3 linked regions of the Astyanax mexicanus genome follow. The protein of the gene in region 2 purifies or fractionates together with the protein of the main gene of each other region. This does not show direct contact. Links are inferred from orthologs where the notes say so. Each region holds a gene or a part of one and is shown on either strand. Other genes may lie near its edges. The genes, in order: tmem9, clcn4 and tmem9b.

What was found.
Region 1: the proteins of clcn4 (region 2) and tmem9 purify together in Homo sapiens (co-immunoprecipitation; 3 studies listed by BioGRID and IntAct, with this or other methods). This does not show direct contact. The link is inferred for Astyanax mexicanus from reciprocal best matches to the Homo sapiens genes CLCN4 and TMEM9.
Region 3: the proteins of clcn4 (region 2) and tmem9b purify together in Homo sapiens (co-immunoprecipitation; 3 studies listed by BioGRID and IntAct, with this or other methods). This does not show direct contact. The link is inferred for Astyanax mexicanus from reciprocal best matches to the Homo sapiens genes CLCN4 and TMEM9B.

Annotation. Positions count from the first base shown.
Region 1 is NC_064419.1:42,482,476-42,490,122, forward strand, and holds the start of tmem9 (transmembrane protein 9), read left to right. Parts: upstream 1-4,599; 5' UTR 4,600-4,694; intron 4,695-6,017; 5' UTR 6,018-6,028; coding exon 6,029-6,121; intron 6,122-6,289; coding exon 6,290-6,381; intron 6,382-7,207; coding exon 7,208-7,316; intron 7,317-7,475; coding exon 7,476-7,607; intron 7,608-7,647. Other genes in the region: histone-lysine N-methyltransferase SUV39H1b, read right to left, coding at 4,091-4,109. UniProt on the Homo sapiens protein: Transmembrane protein that binds to and facilitates the assembly of lysosomal proton-transporting V-type ATPase (v-ATPase), resulting in enhanced lysosomal acidification and trafficking.
Region 2 is NC_064423.1:30,793,851-30,801,009, reverse strand, and holds the start of clcn4 (H(+)/Cl(-) exchange transporter 4), read right to left. Parts: upstream 3,018-7,159; 5' UTR 2,859-3,017; coding exon 2,843-2,858; intron 1,770-2,842; coding exon 1,615-1,769; intron 1,472-1,614; coding exon 1,372-1,471; intron 272-1,371; coding exon 84-271; intron 1-83. UniProt on the Homo sapiens protein: Strongly outwardly rectifying, electrogenic H(+)/Cl(-)exchanger which mediates the exchange of chloride ions against protons.
Region 3 is NC_064423.1:41,763,250-41,770,698, forward strand, and holds the start of tmem9b (transmembrane protein 9B), read right to left. Parts: upstream 3,089-7,449; 5' UTR 2,898-3,088; coding exon 2,820-2,897; intron 879-2,819; coding exon 787-878; intron 182-786; coding exon 73-181; intron 1-72. UniProt on the Homo sapiens protein: Enhances production of pro-inflammatory cytokines induced by TNF, IL1B, and TLR ligands. Has a role in TNF activation of both the NF-kappaB and MAPK pathways.

The sequences.
Region 1 (7,647 bases), on a different chromosome or scaffold from region 2:
ACCAAAGGCGACGAGTCAGCATACAGAGAGGAGGTGCAGCGGCTGACAGACTGGTGTACAGTCAACAACCTTCACCTGAATGTGGACAAGACAAAGGAAATGGTTGTTGACTTCAGGAGAGCACAACACACCCACTCTCCACTCAACATCGACGGGTCCTCTGTGGAGATTGTTAAGAGCACCAAGTTCCTTGGTGTCCACTTAGCAGATAACCTCACCTGGACCCTGAACACCAGCTCTACAGCCAAGAAAGCCCAGCAGCGTCTCTACTTCCTCCGGAAGCTGAGAAAGGCCCGTCTCCCTCCACCCATCCTCACACTCTTCTATAGAGGGACCATTGAGAGCATCCTGAGCAGCTGCATCACTGCCTGGTTTGGGACCTGCACCGTCTCTGACCGCAAGACCCTCCAGCGTATTGTAAGGACAGCTGAGAGGATCATCGGCGTCTCTCTCCCCTCCATCACGGACATTTACACCACCCGCAGCATCCGCAAAGCAACCAGCATTGTGAATGACCCCACTCATCCCTCACACGAACTGTTCTCCCTCCTGCCTTCGGGAAGAAGGTACCGCAGCATCCGGTCCAGCACGACCAGATTCTGCAACAGCTTCTACCCCCAAGCCATCAGACTCCTCAACTGCAGAGACTGAACTGATGGTTTTTCTGTACATGCACACACACTCTTACCCCACTTACCCCAGAAAATGGAAAGCACTAAAAACCCTACTACCTCACTGGACTCTATTGCACACTGTGTAATAGAGGTAATTACTACCTCACTGGTCTTTTTTGCACACTTTTTGCACACTGCATAATTTGCACACTGTCTTGTTATTTATTATTCTTTGTCTGTATTGTGTTGTATTGTCTGTCTGCACTTTTGTACTGTTGCACTATTGTTCTGTCTACACTGTGTTTATGTGCACCATGGTCCCTGGAGGAACGTTGTTTCGTTTCACTGTGTACTCTGTATATAGCTGAAATGACAATAAAAAACACTTTGACTTTGACTTTGAGTATCATGACCTTCTGGATCATTGACTTCTGTTACAAATCTGATAAAATTATTTTTTAATATCTCAGTTAGCCATATCATATTGCATGCAATAATACAATTCAAAATATTTTTTTGAATTCAGTGTTTTGTCATATCGCCAAAAGTATTGTTATGAAAATACCATGAAATATCTTGATATTATTTTAGAGCCATATCGTCCACCCCTACATCAGGATACTACTTTTTTGCTGTTTTTAGCAAATGAAAAAATTCACACTGTTCTCATTTCCCACAGACAGATTATATTTGTCCAGTATCATTTATTTTACTTTTTCTAATCCCGGATATATGGATATATATGGAGTGCACTATTATTAGTATCATGACATTCTGGATTATTGACTTTTGTTACAAATCTGATAAAATCCTTGTATTTGTTTATGTCTCAGTTAGGGGTGTTCCTTATCACATGCACATGTTATTATCATATGCAATAAAAACATTTAATTTTTATTTTGTTGTAGTAGTGTATACTTGAAATATATATATATTTTTTTATTCAGTGTTTTGTCATATCGCCAAAAGCATTATTACTGCGAACTAGAGTTGCACGGTGTACCGAAGGTTCGATTCTTTTTCGATACTACGTCATCACAAACGATTCGGTTCTTTAGCGTTCGATGCTTTCGATACTGTATATAGCCCAGTCACTAGCTTCAAATGAGTCAAATTAGTAGGCGCGATTTGATTCAGTTCATAAGAAAACTGATTCACACCGCAGCAGTCGGTGTGGCAGGATTCAGATAAACTTAGTGTTCTGAACAAATGAATCGATTCACGTGTGAATCGATTCATTTGACTCGGTTGAGAGCGACACACGCACGCGCAAGCCAGCAGAGCAGCAGCGAGAGAGAGCAGCGGCGAGTGTAGAATGGCGACGGCTAAAATAACAGATGTCTCTCGTCCGCGACTTGTAGACAAAACGGGCGCGAGGAGTGAAGTGTGGGAAAATAGTCTGAGATGTAGGCATCTGTTTTTAATTTATTTTTATTTTTAAATAAAATAACGAAAACTGAAAGTGAAACTAAACTACTTTATTTATTAGCGCTGTTTTCACTCCCGCAGTTGTACAGCGGGGGGTGTTGTGCCGATTCTGTCCGCGAAGCGGGAGTCGGATTCAGTAGCGAATTCGGCACAAGCGCGGCGGCCCCTCGCGGTCCGCGGTGTTAGTTGTAAGCGCTCGCGCTAGCCGCAAAATACGACAGAAAACACTGAGGGAGCTGCAGACTTATGTGTGGGACTAGAATATGCGCACGAGGAGATCAAAGAGAACCTTTACCTGTGAGTAGCTCACATCAGAACACGCAAATCTCTCTCTCTCTCACTCTCGCTGTGTCTCTCTCTGTGTCTCTCTCTCTCTCGCACGTGAACGCCTCCGCGTTTGACCTGCAGCACTGTGTTTAGCTGTTCTTAAAAATCATTTTAATTAAATAATAGTTCTATGCTTCTATGTTACAGTGTTATTTAACATAATTCTGATCATATTTCGCTCATTCATTTAGCAGACAAGCACCCTGATCTCTACAAAGAGCTGAGAAGTCGACAGGTTAGTGGAGTTAGTCAAGATACACTCTGTCTGTAGCTTTACTAAGATTTTCTAGCGACTGCTAGTAAATCACGTTAACATGGAGAGGAGTGTGCAGGAGTTTTGTTTTGGACCCGTGGTTTTCTCTATTTCTCCATTATCCCATTGGCTGTGAAACATGAACTCAAGATGTTCACGTTTTCGCGTTTCCATCGCAAATCTGTGGTCAGGCACGTAGCCTGCTTGCTCGTTACACTGAACATGGGCTTATTAATTATGTTATAGTTAAGGTTATAATAACGAAACTTGTTTTTTGTTCAAATGTTTCATTTTAGAATAAAAACGTTTGCACCGATTGTTCAGTGTTCAATCCAGTTCTGTCAAAAATAAACAGTTTATGTTCAGATATTTTTATTGTTTTTTTTCTTCCAAGTATCGTTTTGGTATCGAGAATCGTGATACTACAGTTGGTATCGGTATCGAAGTCAAAATTTTGGTATCGTGACAACCCTACTGCGAACATACCATAAAATAGTGTGATATTTTAGGGCCATATCGCTATCACTACTGTGTAATTATATTATATGAATCTACAATGTAGAAAATACATTTAATAATTAAACAAAAGAAAAACACTGAATTAATTTAATTAAAATTACTTTAAGGGCCAGTTTCTGAAATGGAGAAAAAAATAAAAAATAAATAAATAAATAATAAATAATAATAATAATAATAATAATAATAATAATAATAATAATAATAATAAGCGGGCTGTATATATATATATATATATATTTATTTTTATTTTATTTTTTTTAATGGGAAATCTCAATTCAAAAGGCTGTGTAGTCACTGTTTAGGATTGTACCGCTAAGGATGTGTGCTGCTGGTATTATTAAGCTACTAGAAAGACACATGTAGTTTATAGCTGATATGATTTTAGGCTAAAACTGCTGGATTTTGTAATATTTTAAGTACTTTAAACAGACAGACACTCCTCAAACCATTAGCTACCACACAATACTACACACAGGCCAGCGGGCTAACCGGCAGCGGAGAGAGGAGCACAGCGTGGAGCGGTTACTGAGAAAACCCAAATAATTTACAGTTAATCTAGTAAAACAAATCAGCTGGCACCAGTTTAACCCACAGTTATACAGAGTTAAATCATGATTTCCCGCTGTGATTATTAACGTTACTCTCAGACTGTATTAAACTCAGTCCCGGGCCCGGTATTACTCCGATCCTCTGATAATCTCCTCGGTTTGGCGCTAACTCCGCCGCTGCTGCTGCTCCCCCACAACAACACACTGCTTTAAACTAACCAGCGAACAGCCCGTTAAACTACAGCGATTACTGCACTATAAACAACCCCACCCACACAAACAACGCCTTATACTCACTAAACTACACAAACACAACTCCTCCAACCGCCGCTGGTCTCCGCTACTAAACCTACAGCACGAGAAACACGAGTTTAAAGAGTTTAACCCCAGCGATTTCTTACCTTTCAAATCTTCCGCCATCTTCCTACTACCGCCAAAATGGAATATTAAAATACCGCACGCCGATTGGACACGGAGCTGTGTGATTGACAGCTAAATGAACCAATAGGAACAAGGCTTTCCAACTCTTACGTGCATGACGTAAGATGTGTTGGTAAAAATATGAAAAGTCAGTTTAATCCGTGCTTAATGTACAAATTAAGCTTCGTATGCAAAAAATTGAAAAATATAATTATTTTTATTTTTGTTACATTAAATTATTGCATTACATATTTATAGCTAACAATTTAATGTAAAATATATATATATATATATATATTACATTTTATTTCATACAAAGCTTAATTTGTACACAACAATTTTGAGCAGAACTTGAGCAGATACTAAAAAGAGCTTATTTTTATTCGGATTTTTACTTTCTGGACCTGAGTTACCTTCCTCTAGGTGAAAACAATTAAAAAATTAAGATATCTAAATTAAATTTAGAAATAAACCTGCGCAGTTTAAATATTAGGACTCTTATTTTGAAGTGTGTAACAGCGGTTACAGTTGCAGAGTCGGTTGCTCTGTTTCGGGTATGGTTACAAGTTGTTAGCAGGTCTAAAGGTAAGCAGTGTTTAATATCTGGAAATTTTCTGTATTAAATGTATGTATAGAGTGTGTTTACAGTGAGGGTGGAGAGGGTAGTGAATAATATATTCTGCGTAAGGAGATGATTAAGTTCTATGTATCTCTTGATGTATCTCTTGTATCTCTTGATCCTAGTCTACAAACTAGCTTTGGGTATCTTTAAGTAACTTTGAAGCACTGTTGTAAGTCGCTCTGGATAAGGGCGTCTGCTAAATACCGAAAATGTAAATGTAAATGTAAATGAGCTAAGCTATCTGTAGCTGTTTAGCGTTGGCTATGGCAGCTAAGCTAACGGCTAACCACAGAGACTGAACTGCAGAAGTAACTAGGCGTCATGGGAGAAATTTAACTAATAAAACATTTTAATTTGTTTTTATAAGCATTTTAGCCCCGGAATTTCATAGCATAAAGCTTCATTACTACACATGAACTTTACACTGTTTATTTAAAAGCCTCACTGTTCACCAGTGTACTGTATATCTGTGTAGTATGTAGCTACTACAGCTCTGTAAAAAAAATAACAGACCACTTTACTTTCTGAATCAGTTCAACTGATTTTGCTATTTATAGGTTTATGTTTGAGTAAAATGAACATTGTTGTTTTATTCTATAAACTACAGACAACATTTCTCCCAAATTCCAAATAAAATACTCATTTACAGCATTTATTTGCAGAAAATTAGAAATGGCTGAAATAACAAAAAAAAAGATGCAGAGCTTTCAGACCTCAAATAATGCAAAGAAAACAAGTTCATATTCATAAAGTTTTAAGAGTTCTGAAATCAATATTTGGTGGAATAACCCTGGTTTTTAATCACAGTTTTCATGCATCCTGGCATGTTCTCCTCCACCAGTCTTACACACTGCTTTTGGATAACTTTATGCCACACCTGGTGCAAAAATTCAAGCAATTCAGTTTGGTTTGATGGCTTGTGATCATTCATCTTCCTCTTGTGTATATTGTAGAGGTTTTCAATTTAGTCAAGAAATTAGGAAAAAACATCATAACTAATTAATTAACTAAGTGGTCTCTTAGTTGTTTCCAGAGCTGTGTATATATATACTTCCTCACATGTGAATACTAATGAATTTGTCATTACTGTTTAAAGACTGATCATTTTACAGGGTCACTAATCAACTAACTTCAACTAGATTCCTATTGATCGAGATTGTTTCTTATCATGTTCTGTCGCAACACACAGCATGCACAACTCCCAGATTTGAATTCTAACATGGAAAATTTGGTCAGTGACTGTGAAATCGCTTGAAAAGCTGCATAATTTGTGTTTTTTATTGCAGAAGGGACCACAATGTTATGCAGTATTCGAGGACTCGGTGCTTCAGCACTGGGTTTGCTGGCTTTGGTTTTCTTTGAAACTGTGTCCAATGCACTTGCCAGTAGAGTAAGTTTATGGTTCTATATCGATTTCTTCAATTCTCTCCTGTTACAGTTTAACAGCTGATGTATCATAACACTTGTGCCATTAATATCACTCTTATTATTGGATTTTGACATTCATATTTCGGATCTAAATATGGTATTGTTCACCACTGTTCTTTTCTTGTCTTAGAACTTTGAAGATGTTCGTTGCAAGTGCATCTGTCCTCCCTACCGTAACATCAGTGGCAATATCTATAACAGGAATGCTACCCAAAAGGACTGGTGAGTTTCATTTCGTTCAGCATCCACAGGGGACTAATGTGCACCCATTTTATTTCAGTGTGGCTGTATGCTATCAAATTCTCACAGAAGCTTTCTCAGATTAATACAGACTGTTACTGCAGCAAAATTAGATGAGCACAATATTAACACCATTGAGCCCTGAATAATTGTATTTCTGCATACCTTTAGCCATTAAAATATGTACTGTAGAATATGTGCACATGGACAAAAGTATTGGGATGCAAAATCAAGGGTAGTAATCCTGCTCCAAAAAGTCTATCCTGCTTTTGTATAAGTAACTGTCTCTACTGTACAGGGAAACATATTTGGTTGCGTTCAAGGAAAAGAGCATTATTGGATGATCACCACCCTATCTTATTCCCAACTCATCCCAAAAGTAATGGATGGAGCTCCATTATTGCAGGGAACACTGTTCCTCCACTGACCACTTTAGCCCGTACATCGCATTAAGAATAGTGCAATCTAGTTTGGGTTTATCTGCTCCAGAGAGTTCTATTCTATTGGCAGTACTTCTCTACAGTGTGCAGATCTGTCCTCAAAGATAAATGTGCTTCTTAGAATAATCTTAAGTACTAAATAAAACATATTCTGGTTTCTTTACCACTTTTTGTTTCCTAAATATTTTTGCATCTGTTTCTGTGTAGCTTTAATATAGTCTTCAATATTAAATTTTCAATGTAAAAAATCATAAAAAGAAAAAAAAAAACACATTGAATGAATAGATTTGTGTCCAAACGTTTGACTGGTACCGGATGTATGTATGTCTATAAGTCATTTTAATTACATGTTTTGTGTGTTTTTATAGTAATTGCCTGCATGTAGTGGAGCCCATGCCTGTTCCTGGTCATGATGTGGAGGCTTACTGTCTGCTCTGTGAGTGCAAGTATGAGGAACGCAGCAGCAACACCATCAAGGTATGTATGTTCCATTAATCTGTTACTGGTTACTTTCTAACTAAAACCAGGTGTGAACAGCTGTGTGCTTTTATCATTCGTAATTCATGATCTGATTGGATCACCCAGGACGTGTGTTAAAGCCAGGTGTGAACGTGTATTCTTCACTGTCTTTCCCAGGTCACCATAATCATCTACCTGTCTGTGGTCGGCTCTCTTCTGCTGTACATGCTGTTTTTGCTGCTGGTGGATCCGCTGATCCGCAGACACGATCCGTACCTGCAGCCACTGCAGAATGAAGAGGATGCTGAGGTACATGCCCTCACGCCTGTATTAGCACTGTAGCACACTT
Region 2 (7,159 bases):
GGTGCATAACAGTAGATTTAAATAACTAAAATATATAAAATGTTTTAATCTACACAAATTGTAGCCTTAACCAGCTTTTCTACCTCATTGTATCCAGTCATCAACTCGGCCCATTTCTGCCACTGGGGGCATTTGTCTCTGTCGGCGAAGGTGGTCTCGTTGGAGGTCCAGCAGCACTGCTCGTGGCTGTACCAAAACGCAGACAGACACACTCCCTCTTTAAGGTCAGTCATCCAGTCCACAGCCAGGTCTATTACTCCAGCCAGAGTGCCTGAATTAGAAAAGATATAGAGGCATAAAAATGTATACAGTCTCATTATTGCTTTTAGAATTAGTAGAACACTTACATATTGTACTGTAACTAATATGGCCTGCAATTACCATGTGACTACCTGCAGTGCAATGGTGGTTTTATTATTATTGCATTTTTACTGTATTCTATATTCTTTTACTCTTTATTCTTAATTGTTCCATCCTGATTATCTGTCCAGTTACCTGGTCCACCTGACAAGCTTATTAACAAGCTTTTAAAACTTTTCAGAGTAGCAGTATGTGCATTAAAGCATGAAGCAGTGCTGTTTTCCTCATTATAAGCTGTTAATCAAGGTAAAAATGCTACAAATGCAACTTAAAAATAACTCCATCCTGTACATTAAGGGGCACTTTTCAGCTTTTTTGGACTGTGCAACTCTGTTCTCACTACAAATTAAGGACATTTGTATTTGATACAAAAGTAGGTCCTTATGAAAAAGTACAATTGTTCCGCATTCTTCTAAAAAACTGGGGTTCACTTCAAGTAAGCTCTGGTGTGGTCCAAGCTTTTGCTAAGTTTGCGGGAGTGCAAAAGCTACTTTTGAGCCTGGGTGCCATCCATGGTTCTTGTGAAAACAGTGGTCTGGGGTTCACAAACCACGAGAGAAGGAAATACGATTGCACTGAGCTTATCTTGGAAAATGTGATAAGTATTTCCTGGTTAATAAACAAGAAATGTTTGTTGGTTTTTGCAGACCACAGATTCAGTAGCTGCACTTTATCACCATGTGACAGCCTTCAATCTATACTATATAACTATAATAAAGATATAAACCTTCTGGCAATTGTCATCTATTACTGTTGAAAAAGAACAAAAGGATTTGGTGAAACCATGTGTACCTATAAACAACAGCAATAAATCCAACAGTACAATCCAACTATTGTTTGGGTAAAAAACCCCTATGTGATTTTTTTTAAGTCACGTGTAACAATGCACAGAGATCAGTTAAGTAGAAAATGAACTGAATCCAGCATGTGGAGAGCAGTTACTGGTCTGAAACCTGTTTGCAAAGCATTTGGCAGAAAAGACCATCACCAGCTTCCACTAACTTTCCATACCTGACAGGAGCCCAATGAGCAGCATCACCACCCATCCTGACCAGGCATCCAGCAGACTCTTCACAAACTCCCAAATAGACTCCTTACTCCTGTGTGTAATCTACAGAAAACATTACAATTACGTTAAACCACAGCATGTCAAGATCAAGTCCCAACACATGGACCTTCATTAAGCTGAAGGGAGCCATTATGACCTAAAACATGACTGACAACTGGGAGATACATTGTTTATACACATTTTACCTTCCTGTGGCGGTCAGTATCTCTGGACTTCTCTCTGAGCCAGTCGATGGTGTGGAAATCTTCATATGTTCCCACATCAGGGATAGGCTCATCTAGGAAGTCCATCAGGTTCCCAGCGCCGTTCATCTCCTCGGTGGGAGTGGCGCTGCTAACCCCTAAGAGACAGCCACAAAATTATCTAACCATAATCATTTTATCAGAAGCCGTAATACTTATGTCATTAAGATAAGAAACCAAAATAGTAAGATTTAATTTCAATTAATTAGTCAATTTAAAAAGTTTTCACGCTATATATATATATATATATATATATATATATATATATATATATATATATATATATATATATATTAATAGGCTATGTATTAATTAATGATATTTAATTGTATGCATTATATATATATATATATATATATATATATATATATATGTGTGTGTGTGTGTGTGTGTATATATATATATATATATATATATATATATATTTATTTATTTAATTAATTGTATGCAGTGTGTATACAGCCCTATATTTGTGTATCTAGCCCTATAAAAGTGTGTCTATACTGCTCTATATGATTGTATACAGCATGACATATGTGTATATAGCCATATATGACTGTATGCAGCCCTATTTGAGTGTGTATATAGCCCTATATAAGTGTAAACAGCCCTATAAAAACTGTATATATAGCCCTATATGTGTGTATATAGCCCTAAATGAGTGTATTTAGCCCTATATGAGTGTATAATGTTCTATATGAGCGTATAAAGCCCTATATGAGGGTATAATGCACTAATCCATCTATTCCTAAAGACGAGAGCAGGTGCTTAGAGGAACTAAAGAGCAAAATAAAAGTTCCACCACCAAAGATGAAAATCACGCCAGACTAGTTAAACTAGAAACTCTGTAAGCTACATTTACTGTCATTTTTATACACATATCTAGCTAAGGACAGGTTTATTCATAATACGGTGCGAAAATTTAAAAATATAAAATAAACACCAGCAGCTCCACGGCCTGTCAGAGAGGACAGACACCCGGCTGGCACTGAAAACAAACCCACACGAAAATAAAACAACCCTCTCTAGGACAACAACATGACTGGAATATCTGAAATAAGGATTTAAACTCAGTAAACTGAACAGCTGAACGGAGTGAGAGTGTGAGACAGGTGAACTAGCGCTAGCTAAGCTAAGCTATATTTGGGTAACATCCATAGCGGCTGCTTACCTTCTGCCTCCGCCATTTAGCCTCTTATATTATAGCTTTATATCCAGAGACACACAAACGGCTGCTGCCTGTTACATAGCGGCACTTAAACGCTCAGAGGTTTTGTGGAATTCATAGCTATTATAATAGATATTATATTTATTAGTGTAGTAATAATAATGACAGCGCGCGCAGTATATAAAAGACCCTGCGCGCTCCCAGCATGCAGCTCTGCGCTCCACTCACACACAGCAGCCCGGGCAGGGTGCGCTACTGACGGTCAACACCGAGGAAAATCTACGCATAAAACAAAGAAACACCAAAAACAGTTTAAAACACTGGAGCTGAACCCACATATTTTTTCTAATAGTAATATTACTATTTAAACTTATTTTTAAATATATATTTAAAATATTAGGTCGAAACTATTCTCACTCATTTTTTTAGACTTTTATTTTGTATTTTGTATTTTATATTTTGTATCCACTTTTACATAAGGTGCCACTATAACAGCTTCAAAAAAGATACAATTTTATTTTGTATTCACTTTTACATAAGGTGCCACTATAACAGCTTCAAAAATGATAAAAGTTTATTTTGTATTCACTTTTGCATAATGTACCACTATAACAGCTTCAAAAATAATAAAATTACGTTTTATATCATTGTTTTTTTATATATTGTTTTTTTTTCTTATCTCACAGCTCCCTGATAAAAAAGAACATTGAATAAACGTTGTTGTTTTGATTTAAGATTAATGACAACCTTTAAACAATCTTTTTAAATTATTCAACACTAGGCATCGGTTAATAAAAATCCTGACATTGTACCAACATTAATTTAATGGTTTTTAAAGGGGCACTAAACCATTTATTTTAGCTGACTTCACCCTCAACTTAAATTTGAAAAAGGCTAAAAAATGAGAGGGGTAGTTTGGGAGCGGCACTGGGTGGTGTATGGGTTTAGAGGCAGGGCAGGAGGAAGAGCTAATTGGCTGAGCTGCAGCAGCAGCAGTGTGCCTTTGATAGTGTTGAGACAAAGATGGTTGGGCGTCAGCAGGGGGGTGTTACTATTGATTGACTGATCTGCATATTGTCATATTGTGTCTGCGTGCCAAATTACATGGAAACATCACCCTCGTCTATAGCACAGTTGAACTTACCTTCAGATTGTATAAGTATTCATTATAATACTATTATAATATAAAACAAGAAATTATTTCAACACACTGTGACCGTAAAAAGATCAAGAACAGTTTTTTATTCTTCTGAAAACCAAACAATTTACACTTTTTGGAATCAAATCACACACAGGTGGTAATATGATATTTATTATTTTTGTGTCTTGTATAAAATAATTTTAAATATATCACTATTTAAGAAATATTGTCAAGCCCTACTTTAGATTGTAGTTTAGAGAGTTTTTTTTATTATTTCATATATACAGTGTCTGTGCCAGGATTAGCTCATACACTACTGTGGCCTGTTCTAACCCTGTATGAACTTTGAAGGCTGTTATTACTATGAGAGCGGCTCTAAGGAGGGCTTTAGGCCTTCTCTATCATGGTCATTACAGATCACACCCTCGTCATCATCAGCCTGAAAGCTCTTATCATTGTGATTTTGTAAATTATAAACAGATTTTTTATTAGTGCTATGGGCTAATAAAATTCATGTCTTGCTATCTTTATGCTTATTTTAGATAATGTTTCACAACAGTTCAGAGTCAGAGTGAGTGAGAGGTCACAGTGAGTGAGAGGCAGAAAGAGAGTTAAGAGTTAAACTGCATGTGTTTGATATGTGTTTTCCCTTTGAGCCTTTCGTGTTTAGCCTCCTACCAGCAGACGTCACAGCCTGCGCAGTCCCGTGTCTCAGGCTGGCCTGCAAGAAAAGCCTTTTGTTTGTTTCTGTTAGCTCTCAGCATTTTTAAAACGCCTGTCGTAAGAAACTTGAGAACATGGGGAGTAGACAGATGTGATTTCACACTTGCAGTCACTGCAGACATGTTACACTCAGCATTTTTTTTAAAAACTACACAGTGAAACATTTGAACTGAGCCTGTTGTGCCCAACAGTGTCGGCATGTCTGCTTTACCAGAGTTTACAGAGTAAATCTTAATGCTGATAATGAAACCTGTGGTCTAGAAAACTCTCCGTGCTGTTCTCCCACAAGATAAAATCTGTCACAACCTTCACAAACACTTTCTGTTTCTTTGAGGTGAACAGTTTTCCATTGCAATTGCACATTTTTTACCCCTAGTGTTGTGGTTTATTGAGGTATATAGATGAAATGGGCAAAGAAAAGTCATTAGAGCTTCCTTTACCATATAGAAAAAAATTCAACAGAAACCAACAGGTGATTCTTTGAATCTAGTGACCTTAAATTTCCTGCAACATTATCTTTTGAGAAAATAACAAATAATAGTAAATGCCATTTTTTTTGCCTAAATTACATGTATTATTGCCAGATAGAGATTGCCAGGCTCAACAGTTTAACTTCTAAAATGTTTAATTAATTTCATTAAATAGATCCAAACTGTATTAAAATGTGGATTGTCAACCCTGTCACTTTGATTTAATCCCTGTTATTTGATACTTTTCTCTTAACATTTTGATTATAAGAATAAATAAGTTAAAGGTAAGTGTTTATTGGGCGGAATGTATAATTTACGATACAGTCCTAAAATATTAAAAATAAATCTTAATGTTAATGCATCATTTTTGATAAAATATGACAATGACAAAAAAGATCCCATCAACTGCTTGACAGTTGCTGTGATCATTTCTGAGATAGGAAAATTATTTTTCAAAGGCTTAACTAACCAACTATCAGATGAAATGATCAAAAATATATATATTAAATTATTTTTTAAATAAAAAAATATGATCCAAAACTCCACACGACCTCTGAAGGTGCACTGTGATTTATAGAACCAAGATATCATCAGTAACGGTGGCTGAAATACACAGGTCACACATATTAAAAAAGTTCAAATACTTCAGGTTGGGCTTCCCAAATGGGCCTTATCATTACAGCCGGCCTTAATCTCATATGAGTCCCATCTACACCCCATATGCAGTGTAAAAGCCAGATGAGACTATGGGCGTATTAAATCCCTCTTGTTCCCTTACTGTCCCTGATGGAGTTTGTAACTGTAGCTGTAACCATTAAAAGAAGATAACTCTTTCTTTATATATATATATATATATATATATATATATATATATATATATGTTACTCCTGTAACATTATTAAGAAACTCCATGCTGTAATTTTCCTTTATGTATGAACAGAAGGAGTAGCAGCAGTGTGACCAGGCTTTGTAAAGTAGCTTTTGTGTAGCCCACTCTCAAATATATATACTGATTGCTAGCTAATAACTAACTACACACCACGCAGTCTCTAGGCCCGGAGCTTCCTAATTCCCAACAACCATATGTAGTGCGAACATAAGACTACCATAGGCTACTTTTGGGTAGTGTATCTCTTGGTGAGACTTACATGTCTCTATAATGCTCTCAAATGCATTTTGACTTTGACTTTGCTCATTATTGAACTAAGAGAAGCAGAGAGAAGTCATTTAGATGAATTGCCTGCCATCCAGGCCATCCATCAACCATGGATGGTGTCATGAGCAAGTTGTGGACTGGAACAGCTTGACCTTTAACAAAGAACCCAGGTTTGGTTTGGTATCCAATAACAGTCTGTTTCGAGTACAGAGGACTCATGATATGTGCTTTATATGTGCCTTTGCTGTGGGGAAACACACAAAGCAAAAAAGAAAAAAAGTATATAAGAACTGTTTATATTAGTTATATTTTTATTATATTATATTTTGTTTTACATGATATGGACCCTCAAGAATACCATGAGCACTCCCTATAACTTCAGTAAAACTCTGTAGGCTAAGCTAGCAGATATTGTACGAGCAAATGTATGGGCTTTTCCCTATTGATTTATTTATTTAATATTATCACTAGTGATGCCACAACACAAAGAGGGTGAAGACACATGTGAAGTCAGCCACCGCCTCAAACTGTTGCTGATGCAGCATTGCAGAGTAGCATCACAGCGCACTTGGAGGAAAGTGCAGCGACTCGAATCTGATACACCAGCTCACAGACGCCTTGTGCTGATCGACAGCACCCTTTGGAGTGATGAGGGGAAAGAGTGCCATCTACCCACCCAGAGAGAGCAAGGCCAATGGTGCTCGCTTGCTGATGGCAAGCTGCATGACCGGTATTTGAACCAGTGAGCTCCACCGCTTTAGCCTGCTGGAATGCCCATAATGTATGGCCTTTTGTCATTTCAAAAAGATAATGTCAGTATACATTAGCTT
Region 3 (7,449 bases), about 11 Mb from region 2:
TGCATTCCACTAAACACATGTACTTCTGAACTTCTTGCTGTATAATCTTAGTTTTTAGAAGCAGAAACTCACTTTAATGGTTCCAGAACTTCTCTCCTCGTATTTGCATTCACAGCGCAAACAGTACGCCTCCACATCCTTCCCCTCCACCGGCATCGGCTCCACAACATGCAGGCAGTTACTGAGGACAAGAATATAAATGTTAAATATAAACCAATCAACAATTACGTTAACGATTTAAAAACTCGAATTTATGTAGGAATGAACGATGGAAAGGATGGAATCATAACAGTAACAACAGAGAATTTAATCCTAAGAAAATATAATATTAGGTATTACAGAAAAAAAAATAGTTGAGAAAAATGTATTTACTGCATTTGTTATTGTATTTAAGAATTAGAAGGGAATTTTTTGTTTACCTAACTAAGCTTAGCTTTACAGATCCGCCACCCAGTGGCAAGACCTGCTGAATTAGTAGGAAAAAATGGTGACACCCCTGTTCCTTACTAGTGTCGCACAATGCACTTTATAGTGCAAAAAAAAAAAAAACGGTACTCTCAACCGGAAACCTCCGTCCATCAATCCCTATCTGGGCTGTTTATAAACATTAATAATAATTCTGAGTTCAGCGGAAATGACAAAGGTTGTGCCGGGTATAGTGTACAATAAATCAATAAAGTAATTATCGTGTCAGGCTCACTGCACTGTGCAGCTCTCTGAACAGCCCAGAGCTAAATTTAATCCCCTGTGGAAAAGCAGATTCTCAGATTGTGTTTAATGGATTACCAATCCTTCAGTGAAACGTTCTGATTGTAGATCTGTCCTTCGATCTCTTTGTAAGGTGGGCAGATACACTTGCATCGTATGTCTTCAGAGTTCTGAAACAGAGTAAAAAAACAACATAGAAACATAAAAAAACAAGATTAACAAGGGAAATATCTAAACCCTGTGTATCAATCACAAGACGCCACAGGTAAGGGCAGGGCAAAAAACTGTTCACTGTTAAAAATCACCATTATTGCATATTATTAAGGTCATGTCAATTTATTGTACAATTAGTTGATAATGTAAATATCGTGGCAGAGCCTAGCCCCCTTGTTTTGTTTTTAACCTGAGTTCTGCACTACTGGCGGATAAAGAAACATAACCACACTTTATCAGCTAACCAACCCAACCAGCTACATATCCAAATAACTGCAGACATCCTTTTAATTAATACATTAAATCACAGTACTGCCAAAAGAATAGGACTCAGGTACCAGGTACCTTTGTGCACAATGCCTAATCTTAATCTAAATTCCCTTAAAAACCCTGATATACTTTTTGAGTTTCTGAACAACCTTGAAAAAAAAGATTAAGGAGATTATTAAGTAAAAAAAGTGTCAATATGGCAGTAAGTGTAACTAGCTGATGTTAGTGTTATTATCTACCTAAAACTAGAGCTACGGCCAAAATTAGGGCTAAAACTAGGGATACAGATAAAATTAGGGCTAAAGCTAGGGATACAGATAGGGCTAAACCTAGGGCTAACGCTAAAACTAGGGATACAGATAAAATAAGCGATAAATCTAAAGCTAGGCATATAGATAGGGCTAAAGCTAAAACTAAGGATAAAGCTAGGGCTAACGCCAAAACTAGGATTGAAGCTAAAACTAGGGATACAGCTGGGGTTAAAGCCAAAACTAGCGATACAGCTAGGGCTAAATCTAAAATTATGGATTCAGCTAGGGCTAAATCTAGGAATAAAGCTAAATCTGAGGAATACAGCTAGGACTAAAATTAGGGTAAAAAACTGGGGATACAGCTAAAATTAGGGATAACTCTAAAACTAGGCATACAGCTAGGGATAAAGCTAAAACTAGGGATACAGCTAATACTAGGGATAAAGCTAAAACTAGGAATAAAGCTAAAACTATGGATAGGGCTAAAGCTATGTCTTCAGCTAGGTCTAAAACTAGGACTGAATCCAAAACCAGCAATACAGCTAGGGTTAAAACTAGGGCTAAAGCTAAAACTAGGGCTAAACCTATGACTAACTATGTTAAAAGCCCTCAGTTCTAGCCTACACTGCTAACTGCAGCTAGCTAAAGCTGATAATAAAACATGTCATATATGTTTTTGTTTTTTTACTATAACAATTTTAGTGAAAAATAAAAGAATAAGGCGATTTTTATTTAAGATAATTGTCGAAATGACATTTAGTGTAACGTTAACTAGCTGACGTTAGCGTTATAAACCTCATTTTTCAAGTTTTTCTGGAAAACTTGAAAAATGAGTAAGGAGAATAATTTAGGAAGCTAAAGCTAACTATGTTTAAAGCCCACAGTTAACTAGGTTATATACTGCATTACTAACTAAAGAGTTAGCTAAAGCTAAAGCTAACCAGGTAAACTATAGAGTTATTATTTAGCTAAGGCTAATGCTAAAGCTAGCTGGTCACTCAGTTTACAGTCCGCTGTTATATAAGTTAGTTAAGTTACTACACTGATTAACTACAGAGCTAGCTAAAGCTAAAGCTAACCAGGTTTAAAGTCCACTGATAACTACAGAGTTAGTGTTATTATCTAGCTAAAGCTAGCTGGCTAACTGGGTTTACAGTCCGCTGTCATATAGCTATAACGTTAGTTACTACACTGATAACTACAGAGTTAGCATTAGCGCGCTAGCTAGTGAAGCTAAGTACAGTAGCTAGCCTAGTGATGTTTATATGTAAACGGTATCCTGGTGTAGACGCTGATACAGAATGGTATATTTAATAACTGATAGTGTATATTAATGTTTATTAATATTAATATTAATAATTAAATGTGATTATTTACCTTACTCTCGGCGAGCTGCGCTGAGAGCACCAGAACACAGCCCAGCGCCAGCAGCCGCACTCCGCCCGCAGCCTGCATCTCTCTACCGCACAGCTCTCCGCTCACACCCCGCTCACACACACCGATCAGAACCGGAGCCGATCAGAACCGGAGCCGCGGGTTCTGGACGGTTCTAAAGGCTAAAGATCAGATTAATAACCGAGTGTAATCAGTACTGCACTACCAACACATCAGCTGATCATCAGCACCCTGTGCAGCACCAATAACACTCCCCCCTCAAACAACAGGAACCAAAAAACAGGAACTATACAGCTCTGAAAAAAATAATAAAGCACTTAAAAATGATTTTACCAAATTAAAAACCTCTGGAATATAATCAAGAGGAAGATGGATGATCACAAACCACCAAACTGAACTGCTTAAAGTTATTCAAAAGCAGTGTGTAAGACTGGTGGCGGAGATCATGATGCCAAGATGCATGAATGAAAACTGTGATTAAAAACCACCAGGATTATTCCACCAAATATTGATTATTTCTGAACTCTTAAAACTTTATGAATATGAACTTGTTTTCTTTGCATTATTTGAGGTCTGAAAGTTCTGCATCTTTTTTGTTATTTCAGACATTTCTCATTTTCTGTAAATAAATGCTCTAAATGACAATAAATTTATTTGGAATTTGGGAGAAATGTTGTCTGTAGTTTATAGAATAAAACAACAATGTTCATTTTTATCAAACATAAACCTGTAAATAGCAAAAGCAGAGAAACTGATTCAGAAACTGAAGTGCTCTCTTTTTTATTTTTATACTAGTGCATCTTAAAAAAATAGAATATCACATACCTGTCAAGTTTTAGATTTAAAAATAAGGGATATTTTCCTCTGTCCACTTAAAGCCGTCCCACCATCCCCAACGAAGGTTCAGTATCCCTTACATTTTAAGACAGGTTTAAAAAAAATCTAAAATAACCACATGTGAAACACTTACACACTACAATTAGATTATCAGAATCTGAAATGTTGTGGACAATCCTACATATGTCATTCTTTTAATGCAGCCAAATTAAAAATCCTTATCTAGATATTTTAAAAAAAGTTAAGATTTCATGTCTTGGCTTTTTTGGCATAATGCACTCTTTTATATGATATATATATTTTTTTATTTAATGGATTTAAAATTGAACAAAGGGTGCACAAATTCTACAAAATGACTGTAGGTGACCTAAAAAATAGTATCATGAGCTTTTACTAAAAGGACAAGGACCAGATATATTCCATCAGTAAAAATTAGTCCTAATGGGCCTACACAATTAATAATCTTTAATTAATACTTCTTTCTTTTGATCACTCCACCCCTGATCAGTTCAGTTCATTTCGGTCCTCTACAAATTTCTAGTTAAACTGAGTCACAAACTTTATTTTTATAATTTTAAAAGGTTTAATCTGTGTGTTTTATTTCGGAGATGAGTATTTTTAAGCAGCTATCAGAAAAATCTCATCATAGTTTCCATTAGCCTACAGTTACATTTCTTTTAGAAAAATCGCTGTATATACAGATAGGTTTTATCATCAGCTGCTCCGACGAGCTGCCTGAACTCACCGCGACGGGGGGCTTCCCCACACTGACCCTCCTTTGCAAGCTGATTGGCTGTTTCTCCTGAAAGGCGGGACTTTCTCCTTGAACCGGCTCCACGATTGGTTAAGAGACACAGAGCGGTCAGTGCCCTGTCTCCTCAATAATATATATATATATATATATATATATATATATATATATATATATATATATATATATATATATTATTTTAATATAATACGGGAAATTTACGGGAAAATAATAATACGGGAGGACGGCGTGAAAGAGGAGTAAAATACGGTAGCTTCCCGGCCAAAACGGGAGACTTGACAGGTATGGAATATCATTGAAAAGTTATTTTAATAGTTCAAAATGTGGAGCTCACATTATATAGATGTATTACACACAGAGTGATCTATTTTAAGCCTTTATTTATTTTATTATTGATGATTATGAAGCTTACAGCCAATAAAACCCAAAAATCAGTGTCTCAGAAAATTAGAATATTATATAAGACCAATTGGTACTTTCTGCAGTATGGGCAGTGTGCCAAGTCCTGCTGGAAAATAAAATCCACATCTCCATAAAAGAAGAAATTACTTTAGACTAGATCTAGTGTGAAGTTTCCACCAATCAGTGATGGTTTGGAGATGAGGATTTCATTTTCCAGCAGGACTTGGCACACTGCCCACACTGCCAAAAGTACCAATTGGTCTTTTATAATATTCTAATTTTCTGAGACACTGACTTTTGGGTTTTATTGTCTGTAAGCTTCATAATAATCAATAATAAAATAAATAAACATTTAAAATAGATCACTTTGTGTGTAATACATCTACATAATATATGAGTTTAATAAAGCTTGATACAGTTTTACGTAAGGACGGGGCCACAATGACATTTTGGCCCAAGCTGAAACCTGATTGGCCCCCTGAAGTGTCCCTGTCCTGTCACTAATTTTTTTTATCTACGTACAGTAAAACGCATGTACAATGGATAAACAGATTTTTATAGAATTAATTTTGTACAAAAATTTACCCACATTTTCCGTTAAACTTCCGTTCACACCTTCAACAGAGGAGGAGCTGCGTCTGTGGTTGAGGAGCTACATTTTAAAGACCCACCCACCACACGAGAACGTAATGCAGTCTCGATCTGACCCAGCTATCAAATATACTCCTTTAATTTGAGCTAAACAGCTGTTCAGGTACAGTTTAACCTGATTTATTACACAGATTATTACTACAGTTACTTCATTCTACTCTCCCACCCATCGGTTTTTAAATAGATTTGAAACAATACCAGGTTTATTTGTTTTTTTATTTACATGTTAGATGTACAGACATAAAAATATAGACTTTAATTTAAACTCTGTAACATAAATGAGTAGCGTTAAGTAGCCCAAGCTCAGATTCCTGTAGTCAAAACATACCGTTAAATTCCCAGAAACTGATCAGTGATCAGTTGATCAATTTTGTTGACCTAATTTTTAGTAGCAGTAAAAGAGCTAATGCTAACTTTAAGCCCCTGCATCACACAGACAGCAGAGCTTTAGCTAGGAGGTTCTTCCATTAATTGTTCAATATGGAGTGTAAACCTGTTTGTCTCTGTTTTAGTCTTAAACCACGCCCACTACCTCTATCAGGTTGCCAGGTATGGAACACACTAGCGTAGGTAAACTTTGGTGTACTGTAGCCTCAGCATCTTCTTAAAAATCTTTCTTCTACATGAGCAGAGATAGTTTAAAACACCAGTAGATGGAGATCGCTTGGATCCCAGAAGGACTACAAGACGGATGCTGAGCTGCTCATTTTCTCCTCAATTGTCTTTTTTTAAGATAACGGTGCAGCTAGCTAACAGTTTAAAAAGCTAAAAGTTATATAAACTCCATATCTGCTGGTTTATAATGCTGCAAGAATAATGCATACATCGCAACCTTATACAAACATATACATTAGCTGATCGAATTATTATCAGAGTACAGTGTTGAAAGCCCTTTAAAGCGTTCTTGAACTTGCTTTTTCTTCCCTGTAGGTTCTGTTCAAGCAGAAAGCTTTGAAATTGGACTCCGTTATCTATTTTACATGCTTGCTGTAATAAAGTACATTTTGTTCCTTTAAAGGAGAACTCCTGTGTAAAATAGTGTAAATGGATTTTGTTGTAGTAAAACATGGTAAAAAGTTCTTATCTTTGATGAATAGCACACCTCCGTTCTCCCACAGCGTTCAGAGATCCAGAAATTTTAACAGCTTATCCAAAAACACCCTTCAGACTGGGAGATACGGGGCATAATTTACCCTGATAAATCACTTTTTACACCGTTATCCAGCTCAAAGTAGCTCCACACCTCCTTACTAGAATCTGGAGAGCCCTGATATTTAAAACGAGGCATTAATAACTTAAAAAGTGCAGAAGAAGAAGCTTATTAAAAACCACTGTTTACATCCCATAATGCTACTAGCTTCAGCTCTGAGCGCCGCAATCACTGTACTGATAATGACAGACATATATATACATAGATTCTATAGATGCAATGCAGAGTCTATGTATATATATGTCTATGTCATTATCAGTACAGTGATGGCGGCGGCAGCTAGTAGTGTTACGGGATGTAAACAGTGGATTTTAATAAGCTTCTTTTTGTGCACTTTCTAAGTTATTAATGCCTCGTTTTAAATATCAGGGCTCTCCAGATTCTAGTAAGGAGGTGTGGAGCTACTTTGAGCTGGATAACGGTGTAAAAAGTGATTTATCAGGGTAAATTATGCCCCGTATCTCCCAGTCTGAAGGGTGTTTGTTGGATAAACTGTTAAAATTTCTGGATCTCTGAACGCTGTGGGAGAGCGGAGGTGTGCTATTCATCAAAGATAAGAACTTTTTATCATGTTTTACTACAACAAAAGTACATTTTACACCAGAGTTCTCCTTTAAGACCAGACTAGAACAGCATTTCTATCAGAGATTCAACACAAGCATTGCAAACATTGCAACCGTTAAAGTTACTTAACAACCAGTGCTGCACTGAAATTGCTGAGCTGGAAAAGGAAGTGTGCA